Linked DNA regions of Rhinolophus ferrumequinum. The protein of the gene in region 1 purifies or fractionates together with the protein of each later gene. This does not show direct contact. Links are inferred from orthologs where the notes say so. Each region holds a gene or a part of one and is shown on either strand. Other genes may lie near its edges.

Region 1 (11,680 bases):
GCTGCAGAACCCCAGAGAGAAAATGGCTTCATGGGAGCCTAGGCTGTGGATGGACAGTTACTTCCCAAGCCCAAGCAGAGCCAAGTATTCTACCATGTTTCCCCGAAAATAAGACTGGGTCTTATCTTAAATTATGTTCCAAAAGACGCAGTAGGGCTTATGATCAGGGGATGTCATCCTGAAAAATCATGCTAGGGCTTATTTTCCAGTGAGGTCTTATTTTCAGGGAAACATGGTAGATAGTTGGGATCCCATTTCTCAGAGCCTTTTAAAGGAGCAAAGCCTGAACAGCTTCAGGCCAAATACCAGCACAGTTCTGGTGGAATAGCCATCCTGAAGGAGTCAGGCCCAGGTGCCAAACAACAACGCACAGACAAACGCATGAACCAGAACAGGACGAAGCCTTAGATGAGGTCCCAAGTAGTCCTGGAGCTTCCAAACACAGAGAGCGGAAGCTCGGATCCGGGAGAGAGACTTACTCTCAAACTCCAGGGACGGCAGTGGAGCAGTGAGCTCAAATGAATCTGTGGGCACCGCACCTGCTTGCTCACCAGTGCTCTTCTCTGGATTCTCATACAGGCCACCAGGTAATATTGACCTTAAACAAATAAGCAATCAGATATTCCTCCAGCAAAATGTGTTCATTTAGGAACAACAAAGAATTGCAGTTTGGGACATGTGGTCTAATGGTGCCACATGACAAGTGCCGAGAGCAGTACCTATATAAATATTTCACTTACTATATATTTGTGAAATGAACAAACAGATGAGTACATGAATATTTTATACAAGGAATACATTTACTCATTCACTCATATTTAACTGCTTACCATCAATAAAGGTTCTCTCGTTGACCAAACTCTTCTCAGACTCCCCTGAATGTTACTCAGCTGGGCCTGACTTTTGGTGTCTGTATTCATCTCTGCATTGTCCAACTTAATCAAGAACCTTGATAAGTCAGTTTAATCCAAATCCCCCATCCTCCATACCTGATCAGGTCCCTCATCCCCCACCATCCCCAGCTGATGTCTGCTCACCCTGGCCTGACTCCAGCAGGACCCCTGTTACGTCAGCTTACCCAGAATCCCCTCACCCCGGACACTTCCCCTCAGTACTTTTCCATCCTCTGACCCCCACCCTGCTCCCTGGCTCTAAATTCCCACTTGCCCAGGCTGTGTTGGGATTGGGCAAAGCCCAGTCTCCCCCCACTGTGAAATCCCATCCCAGTGGCCCCTAGACCTATCAAATAGTCCTCCCTTGAGTAAAGTCTTCCTTACCATGCTTTATCCAGCATCATTTGAACAGTTTTTTCTTTAACACTATGTATAAAGCACTTTGTAAAACTAGAAGAAATAAGCAAGAGAGGTGTAGCTCCTGCTCCCATGAAATGTACAGAGAAGAGGGGAGGAATCTTTAAACTCCTTTCACACTCAGAGCACTTACTGCACAACAGGACGTCAGGCTGTGGCCCTTGGCCTGTGCGCGATCTACAGACGGTATTTCCTTCGCCCTTCGATGGCATCCAGAACCTAACAATTATAACACCGGGTATCTCCCATCTCCCCAAAACAATGTGATCTTTCACATCAGTGGTAAACCACATTCATGTCTCAGTGTACACCCCATTCTGGAATCCAGTTGCTGGAAAACACAGGCAGTATTGGAGCTGCCTTTCTGGCCCGTGGTCTTTGAGGAAGGAGGCCATGCCCGTTCTATATACCTGGCAAGACTGAGTATCAACAAACACTGGTGGTTGTTACTGCCGTCGGCCATAGTGAAGGAGAGCAGCCATGGTCTGTGGCCTTGCCCAGGGCACCTTCTAGGAGTGGTTACAAGGAATACTGACGAGTTCATTAGTCCTGCTGAGAAAAGAGACAAAGGACTGAAGAAATGCTGGGGTGTGGTAGACCAGGGTAAAAGGGATCAAATATATGCTGATTGGTGGTGAACACACAATGTGATATATAGGTGACATATTATAGAATTGTACACCTGAAACCTATGTACTTTACTAACCATTGTCACCCCAATAAACTTTAATAGAAAGAGAGAAAGAGAAAGAAAAAGAAAGAAAAGAAAAGCGTTGCAGGAGTGGAGAGGTGTGGCACTTCTCTTCAGGCTACCACTGACCTGATGGCTTTCTAGATAAGGAGGGCTATTCGTTCAAGACCCTTCTTCTTCTGCTAGTCCACTAATCTGTCAGGGAAAAAGTATTTAAGTGGCTTATCTTTGGTTTGCTGAAAGACAATTTCAGAATGGGATCTCCTTTCAAGGAGACACAGAGTTGAACTACAACCATTTCAGCGAGTTTCATCTCATGGATATCTCCCTAAAGAATATTTCACTTTGGTTTCTTTCTGAGGGAAAGAGGGTTTCCATTGCCAAGGCCAACAGCCCCCTGAATTTCTTCTGTGTATTTTTCCAGTTGGAACTGAGTAGCTTGTTTCTTTAGTAGGGAAAATCTGCTAGCCAAGTTCTCAGCTCAACCACAACTAAAGTAATGTCTCCATTACGTTGACCTAGAAACTGTAATTCAAAGCTACTGTTCTTACAATTTCGAGGTACCTATCCCTGAATCACAGGAGAAAGCTAATGACTTCAAGTTCAAATGGCAAATGCTGGTGCTGATGGCTGCTGGCTTTATATAGTCCCCTGGGAGATCTTTAATTCCAGGATATTTTAAATTAATGCCCTCTGTTCTGAAGAAAATTTAAATTTGTCTTTGGATTTAAAGCAACTTCCTTTAAAAATTAAACTATTAAAAAAAATTCAAAACTTGATTCAGCCTTGTATAATGCCCCTGAAGAATTAAATCCTATTTTCTAATAGTTGGGAAATAAAGAATAATTTCTAAGGCATTTTCATTTCTGGCATAAATACACATCTTAATTACAAGTCAAGTGTCCATCAATAAAGAACTAACTAAATGAATCATGGTACGTCCTCACAATGTATGGAAAGATCATTTATACATATATTACAAGCCAAGAATTAAGACAGTAGTGGAGTTGGAGAGTGAGTGAGCCAAGAGCTAAAATTTTAGAAATAAGGCGGAATTACCCTAGGGGTCAACAAATTAACAATGCAAAGTGGTGTAGTAGGTAATGTAGTCTGGGGACTGGAATGTAAAAGCTTTATGATTTTAGGAATGTAGGCGGGAGAAATATCTGGGAACAGAAATGAGGGTCACTCATCACACCTCCAGGCTTTCCTTCTAAAATCTGCACCAAATCCATTCACTCCTGTCCGCTTTTACTGTTGCCAGCTTAGTCCATGATGTCTACCTTTACTTCTCTTTCTCCTGGATCCTGAGCTTCCTAGATCTTTTCCTTGGTCCTTATCTACCAGAATTTTCTGTGTCTTTGATACTGATTTATTTTAACCCAATGAAATTCACTGAGAAAGAAGGCAAATCCCAAATTGTGGATTTGGAATCCCACAATGGAATCCCAAATGGAATCCCAAATTGTGACTACCTTGATAACTAAGTCAGAATTGAATGAGCTTTCTCTATTCTATTCATTTTTTTTGCTCTGTCTTAGCTATTTCATTTTTTCTGATTAAAGTATGTCAAGACCTCTTGGCACTAAGTCTCGGAGAAAGACTTGACAAATGTCACTACAGATTTTGGATGATTTTCCTAATCTATGTTATCAATTGTACAATAATAATTGTTCTAACAGTTAAGGTGTGAAAATTTTATTAAGCAAATTCATAACTTTAGACTAAGGATTACATGCCAGATCAAAATCATCTGTTCTTCATGTGTGAAATTGACAAAATAAAAATATTAATATTGAACAATATTCTAGAAATGTATCCTATGGAAATAACAATATTCTATTAAAGAAGTGTATCCTACGGAAGCAACTGAAAAAAATACAGAAGAAATAGGCTATAAGGCTATTCATAGAAGCATGGGGGAAGGAGCATCAATGTTTTTAAAAAGTATAAACAGTCTAAGTCTTCAAATATAGAATCACCTTAGACTGTTTTAAAAAATACAGTGCCCTGCCCTACTTCTGATCAAGCCAATCAGGACCTCTCGGAGGAAAGGCCCTGGCACTGGAATTTGTAAAAAGTTCCTCCAGGGGTTCTAATGTGCAATTATCGGGTGAACTATCTTAGGTGAATTTACCCAGTCTTATCTCTATATGCACCATCAACATGTTGGGTGGGGGGATCCCAAATTTACACTTCCAGGGGACTGCCCCCCCTTCCAACTCCATTCTTAGAAACTCAATTCCTTACTCAAGATTTCTCCTTGGATATAGCTAATAAGCACCTCTAATTTATTTATACTTTTAAGTGTTTTAGCTGGTATCACCTGCTTTGTACATTCCAGACTAGTTATATAAAAAGCAGGAAGCAAAACTACTGTCTGACCTCCCTGAATCATGTGGACAGGGCTGTCTACGTACGGTGATTCCATGGGTCTGCATTCAGTTAGTGGTGAACAGTATGAATGTCCTTAAAAACACTGCACTTCATACACTCCCTCTGCACCCCGACCCCACAGTCACACAAGCCCACCACATTTTTAAAAAGGAATTGAACAACAATGTGAGCCCAGCAGCAGTCTGCGATCCCTCCAGCCTGGGACTTGAAGTTATTGGCCTGGAGAGGGCAGCCCTCATATGCACTGTGACTCAGCATTTTCTGGGGCCCGAGACATGAAACGAGATAAAGGTCTTGTTCCCTTCATGGCATTAGCTAAATCTGGAGCGACCTTAAAAACACAAAATCAGGGACTGAAATGTTACAGTGCTCACGCTGACACACGTGATGACCGGGAGGAGAGCATGTGTCGGGGTGAAACACACAGAACTGTTCTGAAATAACCCGTTGACCTGTAAAATTAGCCAATAAGAATGCTGATTACGATTAACACTCGGAAATGGAGAAACTATTGTAAATAAATGAAAACAGAATACAAATATGAACTCTGGTGAGTTCATGAGTCAGGTAAAAAAAATCACTTAGAGCTAAGGAGGCAATTTACACAGCTACTCTTCACTAGAATATCAGAAGCTAAACTTGAACCACGTGAAGGTTTTTTTCCCCTTGCCAAAAAAAAAAAAAAAATCGAGTAAAACTGAAACAAATAGAAAAATCCAGCTCCTTTTACTGTTCTATGGGCAGAAAGAAAATAAGATGAAAATAAGATAAACTATATGAACATTGCAATAAAGACAGTTTCCGGTTCCTATTTTCATGTGGAGCAGGAACTGATGAAGAGGATACAGTAATTGGCAAGCAGGGAGATCTGCAGAGGAGAGACCACAAAAAAGGATGGAGGGGCTGTCCACATGGGCAATTGAGGAAATTGGGGACTCCGGCTCGGGAAGCCAGGAACTTAAATGAATAAAGACGATGAGTAGAGATGTGGAAACAGCCTATACGCAAATGGGCAAAAAAACAATTGCTAACACTTACTTAGTTTTAGCTCCTGTACTCTGTATTAACTCTTTAATTCTCTAAACAAGCGAATGATACCCATTTTATTAAATCCCATTTTACACATGAAGAAAGAGCCTCAGAAAAGTAACTTGCTCAAACTCACATTGCTAATCACCCGCAGGGCCAGACTACCAACCCACACAATCTAACTGCACCATTTTACGTTGCCTCTTATGAACGTCTCTAAACATGAAAAGGAAGTGGGGAAGTTGAAATTATTGAGGCCTGTAATGCATTCAAAACCAGACCACGTGCGGCACTGAATTTCCCCTAAGAAACCTACAGCCTGTTAATGGAGTTCAGACTCACACCAAAATACCATTCAAATCAAACCTTTGTACAAACGGCAGAAGCCAAAGGCAGTGGGAACGCAAATGAGACAGCTGTGTTCACCAAGCTATGGGGTCCAGGAAGAGGGCACTGAGGGAGGAGCGATGGGACAGGATTTGAGGGAAAACGGGGAGTTAGGTGGAAGGAGCGGCGAGTGCGCGTTCACATGAATTACTCCCCAGGGCTTTCAGGATAAATCTCAAACTCCTTGGCAGGGTAGCAAGGCCCTCCACTACTAGGTCTTAAGGGATTCCCAAGGAGAGAGATGATCCTGAGATGCTTATGCTGGAGTCTTTACTACAGTTCGGGTCTCAAAGGATCAGAACATCTTATTTTTCTGTGTCTGTAAATCATTAGTGGGTAGAAGACAGGCTTATTCTTTTGTAACAGTCCCTCCCCCAGTCTGAGCGACCTTACATAGTAGCCCGGTGGTAAGTGTGTAGCAAACACTTTCTGATGTCAATATAAATCAGTGAACATCAACTACCAGTGACTGCCCCAGCCTGGCTGCCTCATACCGTCATCGAGACCTCTGCTCTTAGCTAATGTTAAAGCTCTCCAATAAGAGACTTAAACACGTGATCCAGGTGCAACAGGCAGACCTTTGCTTGGACCTAGATGCCACAAACCAATCATGAAAGCACATTCATGAGACAACTGAAAATCTGAAGGTGGACTAGGAATTAAAGGAATTCTTTTCATTAAATGTGATGATGTGATTATGCTTTAGAAAGTCATCTATTAGATACATAGACTTCAGGTATTTATGAACGAAATCGGTTCCTTAAAACACTGGAGGTCCGGGAGTATGGGGGACAGATGACACTCCTGGTGACATGTGACTGCTGTACTTGTCTTGTACACGTCTTGGGTGTAATTTACTACTTTGTGTGAATGTTTGGAAATTCCCTGATATGAAACGCACACGACACACGCACACCCTCAGGTGCTGCTGTTCATCGTAAGCCCCGAGGGAACCAGACTCAAAGGGTCCACCGGCGGCGGCGTCTGGGTTCTGAGGACGGGCCCGGCGAGCCGGAGGGCCTCCCGCGGGAGCCCGGACCGAGTTTTCTGCCGCCGGCCGCGAAGCTGACCGAGACGGCGGCCCCTGCACCCCGTCGGCACCCCCTTCACGCCTTTCGGAGAGAGCTGACTCCTGGAGAGCGCCGCGCCGTCCTCCCCATTTCTACGCGGGACCCCGGGCGGCCCGGGCCGGGAGGAGAAGCCGGCAGCCGCCCGCGGCTCGGCGGACACCCACGAACCCGGCGGCCGCGGCCGAGCTCTGGGGGCGGGGCTCCGCACAGCGACGTCACGGCGCGCCGTGCGAGGGGTCAAAGTTTAGCTCCGCCCCCGCTTCCCTCTCGTTGTCTCCTCGGCCTGCGCTGCAGCCGCCGCCGCTGAGGTGCGCTCCGTCCGCTCCGCCGCCTTCCTGCCTGAGCGCTGCCCGGCCGGTCGCCATGGCGAACGTGGTCGACACGAAGCTGTACGACATCCTGGGCGTCCCGCCCGGCGCCAGCGAGAACGAGCTGAAGAAGGTGCTGGGGAGCGAGCCGGGCGGGAGGGCGTGAGGGGCGCGGGCCTGCGCGGCTGGGGCGTCCAGGCCGCGCGCTCCCCGGCGGCCCGCGAGCCGGCGCCGGCCGCCACGGGCCCGGGCTGGGGGGCGGCGGCGGCGAGACCGGCCTGCCGCGGGGCGCGCTCTCCGGCCTCGGCTGACCTTGGGCCGCCGGCCCCGCCCGCCCTCAGATGCAGCAAATAAAACCCACCCCTGCGCATAACACGAGGAAAACGCTTCCTTCCTCCCTCCCCCGGCGGGCGCCGGGCGCCGGGCGCTCCTGGGACGCAGCTGCCTGCCCGGCCCTCCCCGCGCCGAGGTCACCACCCTGGAAAAACAGGTTGGGCCGAGGCGCCCGGCGCATCCCGGCCCCGGGAGACAAGCTGTCCGCGCCGCGGACGCCGGGAGCGGGTCGGGCTGGTGTGAGGCCCGGCGGAAGGGAGGGTCGGGCCGCCCCCGCCGGAGCCTCGGGGCCGCCGGGGAGGTTTCCCGGGCGCCGCGGCGCCCGCAGCTCCGCCCTTGCCGCCTCCGTGCGCGTTGACCCCGAGGCGGCGTGGGTCCGCGTTTGCGTGCATTGTTCGTGGGCAGGTAACCTCACGGCCCTGGGCCCGCCGTGGGTCCTGGCCAAACACCTGAGTGTACACTGACTAAAAATAAATGGAAGGCCTCATTATCGCTCCTCGCGGTGCCGCGAACCTGTCACCTCAGGATTTCAAAGCACTTGAGGCTTTGATGGAGCCCCAGCGCATCCTCGCGGGGCTCAGAGCATTCGGATTTGTCAGCTGGGAAAAAGAAGAATGCCCCCAGGGCAGTGGCACGGGCAGTGGAGGGTAAAATGGACTTCCTGCTGCCTTACCGGAAGTGCTGGTTTCTATTATGTAATTCATGTGTCTGAATGGAGTCCTAAGTGCTGTATCTCTCAGCCACCTACATTTATGTAATTTCACTAAGTCTGAGGTCACTCCAATCACGAAGACCCCACATTAGTCCACTGTATGAAAGAAAAGAAAACAGGACCTGCGAGCTTCCCGTGGCTTCTTCCTCGTGGTACATTTAGAGGAGCCTTCGTGAGCAGGGATTCTTACCTACCTTTGCTTAATTTTTAGTAATAATGTTTTGCAGTTTGCAAAGCTTAGCAATCATTTCTTCTTAGAGTTGATTAGCGTCTTCTTGATCTAGTTACTGGCCGTCAAAGACATTTGGCAATAGCAAAAGTGGGGATTTATTAACACTTTGTTTTTCTCTGTGGCGTTGTTTCATTGCTTGTATCTGGCTTCAGTATAACCTATTTTCAGGTGTTACTACTGTGGCTTTGTTATTGGAACAGTTTTAAGATGGAAAATGCCAATAATCCCAATGACTAAAAGATACTTTTTGGAACGTTAGGATTTCACAACACTGCTGCTCAGAATATTAGGTTGTAGTTGTAAATCTTTAAATGGGTCTTTGTATGTAACTTTTTTTTGTCCTTTATTGAAGGCATACAGAAAGTTAGCCAAGGAATACCATCCTGATAAGAATCCAAATGCTGGTGACAAAGTAAGTTATTTGAGACTTTTTCCCCTTGACGTTTCAGTTTTAAACTTAAGTTGCCCTCTTTGAAAAAAGGAATGTTGTAAGAAAAGTCCATTTATGTCCATACAGCCAAGTTTTTGTGTTAAGAGTATTTTGTTTTTGTAGTAAGAATGCTAACATTCTGGGTAGTGGTCGGTGATAACTAGGATTGGAATCAAACCAAAGGCTACTTGTAGCTTGTAGAATTAAGTAGACTCTGAATTCCTGTAGCCTTTCCCCACCCACCCTTCTATTTGAAAATCCAATTGTTTTCCTTTCTCATTATAGTTCAAAGAAATCAGTTTTGCATATGAAGTACTATCAAATCCTGAGAAGCGTGAGTTATATGACAGATACGGTGAACAAGGTCTTCGGGAAGGCAGCGGCGGAGGAGGTGGCATGGATGATATTTTCTCTCACATTTTTGGTGGGGGATTGTTCGGCTTCATGGGCAATCAGAGTAGAAGTCGAAATGGCAGAAGAAGAGGAGAAGACATGATGCATCCACTCAAGTGAATATCTTTTTTTCTTTTTAAAAAAAACAACAACTAAGTGGTTTTTTTTTTTCCAAGTAGTAATCTTCAGTAGTAAGAGAAAAGGTATCCAAAAATGTTCTGTCCTTCATCAGAAAATAAAATCTTCCATTTGCTTTACTGTCCTCATTTGAATTTGATAACCTGGGTGTTTGCTTTTTGCTAAAATCTTGATGGTTGGTGTTTTTACTGAGTAGGAAGGTCGTTTTGTTTTATGCTTCTGATGCTGCTTGTTACTATATGGTTTAAATTTTTAATTACGAAGATTCTCCTCTTTGACGTATTTAAATCTTTCAAATTAACTTTTATTTAAAAACTTAAACAGTGAGTGACTATCTGGCTAGTTTATTTACATGTTATAGTCACTCATTACTTGATCCTCAGTGTGAACTCTTCTAAATTGGTTTCCATGGATCTTGCTGGCTTCAAGCCTGACATTAACCTGCCAACATATGAATAGTGTCTGACCTTGATCTTAGACTGGGAACCCATGAGCCCTCTACAATATGAAAATAGCTATTTTAATTTGCAAAATTGTGAGGTCTTTTATCCTGTTAATTTATTCATTAACCAATAATGATTTTACTAGCAAATGCTAGTAAAGATTGAATTTCAAGTGTTTATTTGTAATTCATGTTATGTAATTTATACATTTGAGTAGATTAGAGGAAGTAAAGCATAATCTGCTACATTGTTTGAGTCTTATTCTTAAATGTGTTTGTATTTTAAAAGAATTAACCCTCAGAAATAAATTATCATTTGGATATCATCGCAACAATAATAGGCAGTATGGATTAGTTCTTCTGGATTTTTCTTTGATATAGAAATGGTCTAGGAAGTAAATAGGATGAAGAGAGTGTTTACTGTATCTTACGGTTCTTCATCTTCTCCATAAGATTTTTTTCATACTCTACAGTAAATGCAGTTTTATTCCCTACTGTTTTCTTTTAACATTATTTTAAATTTCCCTATTAGGACAACGTTTCATTTTGTGTGACTTTATAATATTCCATTCCATGATTTTTTTGATCATTCACCTTTTCTATAGGATGTTTTTCTCTGTAATAAATAGTGCTGCTGTGAGTATCTTTATATACAGCTTTGTCTCTACTTGGCACAGATTCCCAGGCAGGCATCCGTGTTTTGAGGCCGATAAATACAATTAAATTGTACTGTAGAGGACTGTGCCAGTTTAGTCCCACTGGGGAAGGGTGCCAGCTTTGCCAGACCGTTACCCACATTTTTCCTTCCTTGGCCATGTTTGTTGAAGTGAGGGTTTTTCTGGCCTCTTCAATAGTGGTTTTGCATACTAATTGAAATTTAATACGTCAGGGGAAAAGACCTACCTGTTCATTTTCTGTAAACGATTGGTGAAAGGTCTTATGAAGTACAAAAGACAGATGCAACCAAGTGCTTTTGTCTGAGGTTAAGCTGTAGATGTGTCAGTATTTGGAAGTGCTGGTAATGTTTTGTTCATAAGTGTTTTATTCTTATACTGCCTAGAATGTAGGAAGTTTTAGCTTAAGATAAAAATTTTGAGAAAATCCAAATGCCACAAAATAGGATAGGTGCTTTGCAGAATACTTCCAACTATTTTTTGTTCCTCTATTTTAAAGTAAACATGTACTAGTAAAGGAGATTTAAAAACGCAGTGAGAAGGGTAAGACCAGACTCAGTGCATCACTGCCAGATCCTAAATGAAGAGTAGTTTTGAGACTTCTGATGTACATAGGTTTGGTTTTTTTTTTTTTTTTTTTTTAGGTTAGTTTGGAAAGGAATGGTTCTGTAATTCACATATGCTGTGTGAATAAAGGCGAGTTGGGTTTTATCAGTGGTATTTTTTAATAGATTTTTTTAAATCACCCTGTTTTGGGTCGTAGAGCTCTTTGAAAAGCTGATACAAGTTGTTCAGATACACAGTTGTACAGATAACTCACTGGGTTCTTCAGTGCTCTAACACTTGTAGGCTCTCTGTTGAAAAGCTGTTCTTTTTTTCCTCTGACGAACACTTTTCCTCTTCTCTGTCACGCTGTAGATAAGGCCACTTTTTTTTTTTTTTTTTTTTGAGACATGCAATCTGAGTGCCTCCCATAGGTTGTCATATGACTTTGTAGCCTTTGCAAATTGTTTTTGGAGGGATGAGAGCCTTGTAATAGAGCGTGGACTCTAGAGCTAGGCAGTCTGGGATCTTGGGCAGATCACTGAACCTCTCTGTGCCTTGATTTTGTCTTGTAAAATGGGGAGAATAATT
Region 2 (11,464 bases), on another chromosome or scaffold:
AAACTGTTGCCAGGATTACTTCTGGGAACAGAAATGGGATTGTTGGGAAGAAGTGTGGGGAAGAAGTAAGGGCTAGGAGATAAAGGGTTGTGCAATGAGTGGGAACTTTTCATTTTTAATGTGTTTTTATATTGTTTGACTTTTTAATAACTAACAGTTTAGTGTGATGGTTAAGAGCAGAGTCTTGACCCAACCTGCCTCGATTTGAATCCTGGTTCCACTGTTTACAAGGTGTGACCCAGGGCAAGTTACTTAACTTCTCCTTGCCTCAGTTTTCTCATCTGTAAAATGGAGATAACTATACCTGCCTCGGTAAGTTAAAACATGTAAAACTCTTATAACACTTCCGGGCACATAGTATTTGCTACATAAGTATTAGCTATTATTGTCCTTATGTTAAAAAGAAATCTCAACACCACCTTCCATGACTCCCCTTTGCCTATGATAAAGGTCAACCTTCTCAGCCTCGCATGCAGGGCACAGATCAGGGGCTGCCAACTCCCGTACTCTTCTCTGACCACTCCTCCTCACTCTGCAACAACAGTCAGTCCTGTGGTTCCCAAACACACCAGGCTATTTCTAACTTCTCTGCATGGACCGCCCTTCTCCATTTTCTCTATCTTGTTAAGGCAAACATCAAGGTTACTGCCTTCTGGAAGCCAGTCCTGACAACCCCACGCTGGGGCAAATGCTGCTCTTCTGTGCTCGGTACATTGTATCTACCACCAACAAGGCAAGTTCCCATTGTTTTGTGATTTAATCACCTACTGGACTGTGTCTTATTCCTGCCACTGGACCTGGCAGATAGTAGTGCTTACAAAATGTTCATTAAATGAACGAATAAATCAGAGATTTGAGGAGATCATAGAGAACAGAGAGTATGGTCAGTGTGGTAAGAGGGGGCCCAAAAGGTCAGAGGAGGTCAGAGAATTCAGGGGTCAGAAGAGATTACTGAGTTTGAGGGTGAGAAAAATCAGAGGAGAATCATTGAGATAGATGTGGGTAAAGAAGTCAGGGGGTCAGGAGATTTGAGAAGTCAAAGGGGGGGCTTATTGAGATCAGAAGGGGTCAGAGGAGATAAAAGAGGATCAAGGATTCAGAGAACACCAAGGGAGTCAATCAAGAAGGCCACAGACAAGCTCAGAAGGGACATCAATGTCTTACCACCGGGCCAAAGTACCAGGCCGGGGCGGAGCGTAGCTGTCATGACGGTGCAGCTGCAGGAAGTCTCTGCCCGGGCCCTGGGCCAGCTCAGTGATTTCCTGGCCCCACCACCGCGCCTGCCGGTAGCTGCTGCACTTGAGAATCAGGGATCTAGACAGGAACAATAGAGACCACAACCCTCACCCTCAGTACTTCTGGTCTGACCCAGAAGCTCTCCCCATTTAGCTGTCACCTCTTTCCCACTTCCCTTAGTCCCTGAATCGTAACTCCACAGGGACAGGGTATATATCTGCCTTATTCAGTTGGGTTCCTGGCACTTAGTATTGTACCAGGCATTCAGGTTTGTTAAATGAATGAATGAATGAATGAATGAATGGAGTGCATTTCTTTTACATCAAGAGTCCCTCCCCCAAGCTTATGCTCAACCCCCTTTCTCTGGGCCCAGACTCTAGGAGCAGTCCCAAGCATCAGGCTAGAATAGTTCCCTAGTTCCAAATCACGGCCAGCTCCAGGGGGGTGGAAATGCCTTCCCTTCTTCCACGGGCTCTTCCATGCAACTCCCCTCAGGGCCTTAGGCTGGCTCTTCACTCACCAAGTGTCTGTCCGTACCAGGAGGCCTTACCTGTGGGAGGTGTCAATTCGGACCCCGTATCGTGCCTCTGTGCTCCTTTTCCCCACCTGCACCTCGAAGCCAGGGTCAAAGAGCTGAACAAATGAAATGGCACCAGTCTCGAGGCACATGTACAGCAGGAAGGAGTCCTTCACCACTAGCCACCTGGAGCAGAAGGGTTCTGTCTGTTCCTCTGCCCTCATGATTTCCTTCCTCACCCCCAACCCATGTCCCACCTGCCCCATTCTAGGCTTCACCTCTTGGACCAGCGATAACAAACTTGGTCTCGGCCACAGCAGGTAAGGCCAGGAACACGGTGGCCACCTGAACGCTTCCGGATCACCCCTTCCCTGTGGGAAAAGTCAGGAAGAGATACTGGATAAGGAATCCAGACCCCCAGCCCACCTTGCACTGCATTCCCCATCATCAGGCAGGGAGAGATCCAGATGTTTGCAGGTGACTGGGTGAAGGGTGTCAGACACTTACAGTCCTTTGGATCCAAGGTCTGGGATAAAAGACAGCTGACTGACTTCTAGGAACTCTGTCTGCAGAGGAAAACAAAGGCTCAGGGGAGAGACTCAGGCTTTCAGCCCCTCAGACCCTACTGATCCTGGTCCTCTGTCCCCTGGGGACCTGCTTACTCTGCTCCACCTAAAAAGACCCAGGCATCCAGCACCTGAACCTTACCATGGCGTGGTAGTTGCGGTAGAAAGACATGGTCAGGAGGCGGTTGAGGTAATTCTCCAGGTATTTCTGAAGTAGGAATAGGAAACAGAGATAGATGGGACCAGAACCGTTTGCAAACCAAACGCCTTCCCAGAGTACCTGGTGTCCGGTCGCACCTGTTTGCTGGATGCATGTCTGGTGGAGCCCTCAGGACCTGTTCGGGGTAGAGAGGGCATCTCTCTGTCGGCTGCCTCTCGGGCTGGAGGATAGGGGACAGCAAAGCTGTGAAAGGGATGGGTTGAGGGTCAAGTAAGAGGTGGGAGGCTGAGTGCTTCTGTTCTTGAAGCACTGGAGAGAGGGTCTTGGAGCAAGGAAGGAGGCCTAAAGGCTGGCGGAAGGAAGGCCTCCTACGCTGAGAATAGAGACAAGAAATGCGGGAGGCTGCCAAGGGCATTTTGGGCATCTAGCCCGGCTAAGATACTGGCACAGAACCATGGACAGGGAGAGCTGAACAGGGAAGGTTTCCTGGTAACCAGGGTCAGAAGAGGGGGCCCAGTGGCAGGGGAAGTTGGGGGAGGAATGGCTGCAGTGTGGGGGTGAGATGGGCAAAAAGGAGAGATGGGGGCTGAGGCAGTGACATCTCATGCCACAGGGTGAGGGGCCCTTCACAGGAAGCGGTCTGGTCCCCCTCACCGAGCCAGAGGGAGCAGACTCATCAAGACTTTGTGTCTCAGTAGGTCCCGATGCAGCTCCTGGAAATGACGGAACTTCTTCTTGGTTGTCCAGGTAAAGTCACCATGAGTCAAGCGGACCGAATACAGAGTGCAGGTTCCCACCTGAGGGTGTGAGGAACTGCATGGATGTCCCCTGGTTGGGTTGCAGCCCCCACTCTGGTCAGTCTTCCCTTTACTCCCACCCTTGGTGCCAGCCCAGCCACCTTGGATCCACTGGTATATCTTTCAGTGCCCACCACCTGGGCTGTGACAGGAACCCCAGGAGCAAACACCAAGGGGTGCATTTTCAAAGGCTGAAGGTCATAGATGGCCAGAAAGGGGTGCATCCGGTCAGCTAGGAGGAAAGAAAAGTGGAAGAGTGTAGATGCCAGGAGGACTCAGGCCAGTCCTCTCCCTGAGGGCCATCCTCCCTGCATACCTGGGTCCTCTCCCTCCTTCAGAGTGTCCACCTCATCGGGTTCCATCTGTAACTGGCTGGAGTCCAGGTCGCTCCCAGAGGGGAAGGGGCTCTCGGGGCTCGCCGTCATCCTAGGAATAAGGGGAAGCCTCAGAGAGGTGATCTGCCCTGCAGAACTCTGCCCCCCATTCCACCATATCCTCCACCTCCCTCTTCCCCATCCGCCTGTCTCCCGCTAACTCCCAATCTCTCTCTGATGATAGCCCCATCGTCTGCAACGCCCTGCCAACCCACCTCTAACTTCATCCCCTACCTCAGTCCTTCATCCAGAACCCTTGAACCCCGCCTCCAGTCCCGTAACCAGGGCGCCCAGCCAGGAACACCAGGCTCCGATGGCCCAGAACTGGGGCAGAGCAAAAGCCAGGGGAAGGGGCCCCGCGGGTCGCAAGGGGCCGGGAGCCGCCGGGACTCAAGCTAGGCCAGGCTGGCTGGGAGAGGGGCTCCAGGCGGGAAAAGAGGAAGTTGTGCTCTCCCCGCCCGGGAGGGAAAACCCAAAATCTGAGTGTGCAGCTGAATCAGGAGGCCCCGCAGCCTGGGCCCATTCCTGTCCCCGCCCGACTTCCTGGGTCCCGGCCCTCCGCGGCACCCCCTCCCCGGACCCCTCACCCGGGCAGCCCGAACCAGCGCCGATGCGGGGTCGCGTGCAGACAGAGCCCAGCTGAGCCGGAGCCCACACCCCAGCAAGCTGGGGCGGGGCGGCCTCAGGGCCAGCCCTCGAGGGCGGGACGGCCCCCCGCCTCACCTCCGCGGGATTCTCGTCTGTCCTGTCCCGCCCCCGCCGCCCTCGTCCCGCCCCGCGGTCTTGCGCGCCGCCCTTGGCCGAGGGGGTCTCCTCTGCGATGCGGGGCTGCGAGTCTGAGCGGCCTGCTCTCTGTACCCGGCGGGTGCAGTCAACAGGTCTGTCCGTCTGTCCCGCGCCGTCGGTCCAAGTGTGCCTTGCCGCCACCCTGTGGATGCTCGACGCCGCACACTTTACCCCCCTCCGGCGCGGCCCCTGGGGCCTTTTTGGCCCTTGTGGAGATGCACCTCGGCGATGGTACCTGTGGGTGTCCCCTTCCCAGGCGGGCTGAGAGCCACACTGGGCCTGTCCTGGCCAGCGTTTGTAGATGGAAGGCATGATAAAAGGCCGGATGGATGGTGGCCACAAATTCATTAACGTACGTAAGCTTGCATTCTTTCATTCATTCACCAGCTATTGCGCACTTGCTCGGTGCCAGACATTGAGAGTACTTACTGTAGTGAACAAGATAGTCAAGGAACCTGATGTCCTGAAACTTACATCCTAGGGGGAAACCGGGACATTTTCAGGTTCTAAAAGGTAATATAATGCAAAATTTATTTAAAGCAGATTTATTTATCTCTTCTTTGGATGGACATTCGGTGGTTTCTAGTTTTTGTCTATTGTGAATAAGGCTCCTGTAAACATTCCGGAATAAGTCTTTGTGTGAATATATGTTTTCATTTCTCTTGGGCAAATAGCTAGGCGTGGAGTTGCTGGGTCATATAAGTGTTCTTTAACTTTAGAAGAAACAGCCAAACTGTTTTCCAAAACAATTGTTCCTTCTTACATTTTCAGTTGTTCCACAGCATGGCCAACACTTGATACTGTCAATCTTTACAGTCTTTACTTATTAGCCATTCTAATAAGTAAAATAGTACATCACTGTAGTTTTATTTGTATTTCTCTGATTATTAATGATGTTGACCGTGTTTCATGTGCTTGTTAGCCATTTGTAGATCTTTTATAGTGTCTATTCAAGTTTTTTGCTAACTTTTAAAAAAACCATGTTGTCTATTGTGATATTGTGATTCATACATGCATATATATGTACACATATACAAATCCTTTATCACAAATATGTATTGCAAATATTTTCTCCCAGAACGTGGCTTGTCCTTGTAGAGTAATGGTGCCTTTTGAAGAGAAATTTTCTATTTTGATTAATTTGTGGTGTATAGACTATTACTCAGCAAGAAAAATGAATAAAGTATAAAATAATTCAGTCACCTTGGAAAACAGTTCCTCAAAATGTTAAGCATAGAATTATCATGTGGCCCAGCAATTCCACTGCTAGATATGTACAAAAACTTGTACATGGATGTCCATAGTAGGAATACTCAAATAGCCAAAAAGTAGAAGCAACCCAAATGTCTATTATCTGATGAATAGATAAACAAAATGTGGTTTATCTCTACAACAGAATATTATTCAGCCATGAAAAGGAATGATGTACTGATACACTAGCTACACCATGGATAAACCTTGAAAACATGCTGATTGAAAGAAGCCAGCCACAAAGGACCACATTTTGTATGATTCCATTCATATAAAATGTCCAGAATAGGTAAATCCACAGAGACAGAAAATAGATTAGATTAGTAGCTGAAGAAAAGGAGGATAGAGGAGTGACTGCTAATGGATATTCTTTTGAGGGTATGAATATGTTATAAAATTGGTCGGGATATTTGCACAGCTCTGTGAATACAGTAAAAATCACTGAATTGTATACTTAATTTATTTATGTATTTATTTATTTTAAAGATTCTATTGGGGAAGAGGAACAGGACTTTATTGAGGAACAGTGTGTACTTCGGGACTTTTCCAAGTCAAGTTGTCCTTGCAATCTTAGTTCTGGAAGGCACAGCTCAGCTCCAGGTCCAGTTGCCGTTAGTTGCCGGGGCGCAGCCCACCATCCCTTGCAGGAGTCGAGGAGTCCAACTGGAAACCTTGTGGTTGAGAGCCCGCACTCAAACCCATTGAGCCATCTGGCCACCCAGGAACTGAGTGGCAGCTCATTGACTTCATTCTTGTTGCAGAGGGCGTAGCTCACTGGCCCAGGTGGGAATCAAACCGGCAGCCCTGTTGCCCAGAGCTCGCGCTCTAACCAACTGAGCCACCCGTCTGCCCTGAATTGTATACTTTACAAGGGTGAATTATCTCTTAATAAAGCTGTTATTACACACAAAAAACCCCAACAGATTTAATACATGTAACATGGATGCATTTCAACACCATTACGCTGAAAGAAGCCAGGCACAAAAGAGTAATACTATATGATTCCATTTATATAAAATTCTGAAACAGGCAAAACCAATCGGTAGTGATGAAAATCAGATCAATAGTTGCCTCTGGCGGGGGTGGGGAAAGATTGACTGTGAAGGGGTACACAAGGGAACTTGGTGATGGAAATGTAAATGTCCTATATCTTGATTGGGGTGGTGATTACATGGGTATATATACTTGTCAAAACTCTTAGAACTGTACACTGAGATGTGTGCATTACATTATATGTAAATGTTTACTTCAATAAAGTTAATTTAAAAACAAAAAACAGATTTCTAAGTCAGGCAGTATAGTCAGCAGTGCTTCCCAACCTTTCCACACACATCATGGCACCCATAGGGAATAATATAACATTTGTGCAGCTTTACTGGAGGGCATTTAGAGTCCTTGGCTAGGGGCTTCTGCACCTTAGGTTCCCAGCCCAGGCTCAGGTCACCCACCCGCCCCAGACCTACCCAGGGGCATCAGTGCCTACTAGGGACATGCTTGGGAAGCTCAGTGTGGTTGCAAACAGAGTAGACTCTGCGGTCACTCTGATGGGAGTGGGGGAGAGTTCCTGCTCTGCTGATAACTGCCTGTGGGACCTTGGGCAAGTTACCCAAACTCTCAGTGCCTCCAATTCCTCATTTGTAAAATCAGGATAGTAATAACACTCGCCTCAAAGGGTCATTGACATGATTACATGAGATGAGATAACATGTAAAATCCCTAGAATTTACCTGGCACAGCATTATTAATCAATTACAACTGTCTTCATAAAAGGGGACAAGAGCTACCAGACCATTTAATGAGAGCATAACATTTCCCTGACTAGTAAAGTTTCCTGTTCTAAAAAAAATAGACTATTCTTTAAATTTTTACATCTTGGGAATTCTACATTGTCATTCTAAAATACAGATGACTCCCCAGCAGTGTCCAGGCTGGCACCAAGTGGCCCAACAACGCTGTAGTGAATTTTCACTGCACCTGTATGTCCCAGCACTTCTGTATTTGTCTCTGCCATGACACCTGTCCCAGTCTCCTTTTGCTTCTCCATGAGGATCAAGAGAGCCCCCACATTAAGGGGGCAAAAATGGATAGGTGTTTGAATAGGGAATCCCTCCACCTCTTCCCTCCTCCCTTTTCTCCCCCTTCCATCCCCTGGCGCCTGTAATCACCAGGCGGTCTGAAGCTAAGTGGTAGTTTTGCCCACAGTGGGGGGGCTTGGAAACCACACCCCTCCTCCTGGGGCCCTCCTGGCCATTCCCAGCACCCTGTCTCCATTGTTGAGATGGGTCTCAAGGGGGCATGGTGTTTCCCATGGTGTGGGTGCCGAAGACAGCGGGGGACTGAAAGAGGAGCAGGTATGGGGAGACTGAGGGAAAAGGGGGGTTTGTCAGGCAAACTGATAAGCTACACTGGGAGAAAGGTAAATTCTTAAACCGGTGAAGGGAAAAGGATAGTCTGTCTCCCTGGTGGATCTATTGCTTCCCCACAGAGCTAGCTAAATAATCTGCAGGACAGCCAAATTTGCAGGAATGCAAAATGAAGAAGTGGGGCCCCTTGTTAAAAAATGATTAAGAAGTTCAAGTCGGTGACAGCAGAGCGTTACATCCAGCATGGGGGTCCTGAGTGTGGGGCCAGTGCACAGGTTGAAGGGCAGTGAAGCCAGCCCTGTTCTCCCAAGATACCCTCTCCCTCTTCCTGCTGATGCTACCAACACTCACCCCTCCCAAGACTCCCAGTGTCTTCCCTGGCCTCTGTCCTACTCATAGGGTTGGGGATGGGCATGGGGGAGGGAAGGAGGACCCAGACCCACCACTCCCTTTTTCCTCCAATCTCCCTTTTAGGTCTGGCTCCAGCTGCCCCTACAGATCCAGATCCCAGCCCAGTTATCGCGCCCATCGTGGCTGAGGGAGGGATACCCTCCCTAGAGTCTGGTGCCTACTTTAGCAGGAAAGCCCGACTCTCCTTCCGCCACCAGCTGCATGACATAGCATCGGCCAATGACTCCACCATTTGAAGGGACAACCAGGGGCTGAACTTCCAGGAAGCCTTGGCAACCTTCCTTCCCCACAATTCTCAGTTTCTGGCTTCCCCAAATCCCTCATAACCTTCTCATTAAATATATTCGGAGTTGCCAAGTATTGTGTGGATGTGCTTGGGTGTTGGGGTGGGGAGTAGATGGGGCCAAGCACTAGACTGGGTTATGGAGCTGAGGTGGGAAACGCAGCATTGGGTGGCGAAGGGGACACTGGAGTGGTGAATATGTAATGCAGAGCCCAGGTGTGCTAGCCAGAAGTTTGCTGAAATCAAGCTTCAGAGTTGAGTGTGGTGATTGCAGTTTGGAAAGGTTGGGGGCTAGGCAGGACAGCAGACAGGACTAGGGAGCATATTCACTCAATAAATATATAAATGTATCCGGGCATTGGGGATATATTAGTGAACCAAGCAGAAAGAATTCTCTCGTCTCACTGACCTTTCTAGTAGAGAAGCTAGACAATAAAAATAAAAAAAAATAAGCATGATACTATGAGATAAGGCTTAAGTGCTGCTATGAAGAAAATTAGCTCTTTGAGGAAGGCGCGGTCGTGGTTCGATCGTCGTTCGTTTTCGCCCGCTCCTGCTCCTGACTCACCGCTGTTCGCTCTCGCGGAGGAACAAGTCGGTCAGGAAGCCGCGCCGCAACCATGGCTTTTAAAGATACCGGCAAGACACCCGTGGAACCAGAGGTGGCGATTCACCGAATTAGAATTACTCTAACCAGCCGCAACGTAAAATCCTTGGAGAAGGTGTGTGCTGACTTGATCAGAGGCGCAAAGGAAAAAAATCTCAAAGTAAAAGGACCAGTTCGGATGCCCACCAAGACTCTGAGAATCACTACAAGAAAAACTCCTTGTGGTGAAGGTTCTAAGACTTGGGATCGCTTTCAGATGAGGATCCACAAGCGACTGATTGACTTGCACAGTCCTTCTGAGATTGTTAAGCAGATTACTTCCATCAGTATTGAGCCAGGAGTCGAGGTTGAAGTCACCATTGCAGATGCTTAAGTCAATCTTTTTAATAAATTGACTTTATCAGTTGTTAAAAAAAAAAAAAAGAAAATTAAACGGTAATGTGAGAGCAAAATGGAGGAGGGGAAGGTGGTGTTTCTTAAATTTCAGGTGGTTAGGAAAGGCCTTTCTGATGAGGACATTGAGCTGAGACCTGAACAATGTGTCAAATGTAGGTTTGCTGATTGTAACAAATGTACCACTCTGATGCAGGATGTTGATAGTGGGAGAGGCTCCGTATATGTGGGGACAAGCAGGTATAAGGGAAATCTCTGTATTTTCCACTCAATTTGGTTGTGAATCTGAAACTGCTCTAAAAAGTTTTTTTAAATCAGGGAAGAACAATCCCAGGCAGAAAAACCAGCAAGTGTTAAGTACAAAACCCCTTCGATTCTAGGAAACGGAAAAAAACAGTGACTAGAGTGTCAAGATTGAGGAGAAATGTTTGGTCTTCTAAGCCATGGTAAGTGGGTAAAATATCATTTTAGATGGAATGGTAAGACACTGAAGAATGTTAAGCAGGGAAACGACATGATCTCATTTACATTGAAAGATCACTTTGATTGCTGAACGGGAAAAGATTGTAGATCAAGTATGGAAGCAGTAAGGCCATGTAGCAGGGGGTGTGGCCATCCTCCAGGCAAGAGACGATGGTGGCTTGGCTCAAGACAGTGCTATGGAAATGGGGAGAGTAGATGGCTTTTTGGTATACTTTTGGAGTTTTTAGAACTTACTATTGGACTGAATATGGAGTCAAGGCAGAGAGGAATGAAAGATGCCTTGATAGGGAGAACTGGGAGAACAGGTTTTACAGGAAAGTGTGTTGGTTATTTTGAGGTACACATGTTTGTGGACAGAGATCCTTCTCTGCTCTTCTTTATTTCTCCCCTACCCCCACTCCTTAGGAAGCTTCCCTGTACCCTCAGAAATCCTCCAGGGCAGGATTATATTCTAGAACAAGGTTTTCAAATATGGCTTATATAGTTCCCTGATCCATAGGGTGAGGGGAGAGGGAAGAAGATTGAGGCAAAATTGAGAATGTTGGTTATTGTCAATGAGCACCACTGAGCTCATTTAGGTCCCTGGCCTCCCATCCAAGGGGCTGAAGACTTGACCTGTTACACTCCCATGGGAATGGTGCCTTCCAGAGCTGGCGCACAGCACTCCCAGTGGCTGCCCTCTACCATCTGCCAACAAGGTCCACCTTTCTCCCAAAAGCCAAGGAAGTCACACTGCTGCTCCTAACAAGATGAGGTGATAGAGGTGAGTGTGGAGAGTGGGGATCATGAGCCTGGGTCTGAGGAGGTCGAGAGTCCTGGCTTTAGGGCTAGTAGCCACCCATGACAGGTAGGAGGCAGACTAATGGGAGGTGACCTCAGTCTCACTCAGAATTCTGAGTTCTATCTCAGGCTTGAACAAGGGTGGTAGCCCTCCTATCAACCACACTCTGGTGTCACAAGGACCTGAATATGGTAGAGGAAAGGAAATGGAGAAGGTAGCCTAGAGAAAGAAGTTTGAAAACCACCCTTATAAAGGCTCCTCTCTGAATCTCAGGGCTCAGAGCAGTGGTTTGTCCAAACAGCAGTACACCAGACAAGTTCAGGCTTGGAGTCAAAAACAAAAACCCCAGAGCACAAAGACTCTTTTTGACAAACTGTTTATTGAATTTTGCATCAGTATGGGATGTCTCTCATTGTGTCCTAGAATCCCAGGATTCAGGGAGGTGGTAAAGTGGCA

What was found.
Region 2: the proteins of DNAJA2 (region 1) and PLD2 purify together in Homo sapiens (affinity purification with mass spectrometry; 3 studies listed by BioGRID and IntAct, with this or other methods). This does not show direct contact. The link is inferred for Rhinolophus ferrumequinum from reciprocal best matches to the Homo sapiens genes DNAJA2 and PLD2.

What each region holds. Positions count from the first base shown.
Region 1 is NC_046298.1:2,996,330-3,008,009, reverse strand, and holds the start of DNAJA2 (dnaJ homolog subfamily A member 2), read left to right. Parts: upstream 1-7,129; 5' UTR 7,130-7,247; coding exon 7,248-7,325; intron 7,326-8,821; coding exon 8,822-8,881; intron 8,882-9,184; coding exon 9,185-9,408; intron 9,409-11,680. UniProt on the Homo sapiens protein: Co-chaperone of Hsc70. Stimulates ATP hydrolysis and the folding of unfolded proteins mediated by HSPA1A/B (in vitro).
Region 2 is NC_046304.1:12,537,651-12,549,114, reverse strand, and holds the start of PLD2 (phospholipase D2), read right to left. Parts: upstream 4,501-11,464; 5' UTR 4,374-4,500; intron 4,368-4,373; exon of another isoform or gene 4,238-4,367; intron 4,055-4,237; exon of another isoform or gene 3,885-4,054; intron 3,703-3,884; 5' UTR 3,702-3,702; coding exon 3,593-3,701; intron 3,514-3,592; exon of another isoform or gene 3,509-3,513; coding exon 3,378-3,508; intron 3,293-3,377; exon of another isoform or gene 3,277-3,292; coding exon 3,134-3,276; intron 2,723-3,133; coding exon 2,617-2,722; intron 2,528-2,616; coding exon 2,462-2,527; intron 2,320-2,461; coding exon 2,261-2,319; intron 2,125-2,260; coding exon 2,032-2,124; intron 1,940-2,031; coding exon 1,787-1,939; intron 1,315-1,786; coding exon 1,165-1,314; intron 1-1,164. Other genes in the region: 40S ribosomal protein S20, read left to right, coding at 9,365-9,724; PSMB6 (proteasome subunit beta type-6), read right to left, coding at 11,443-11,464.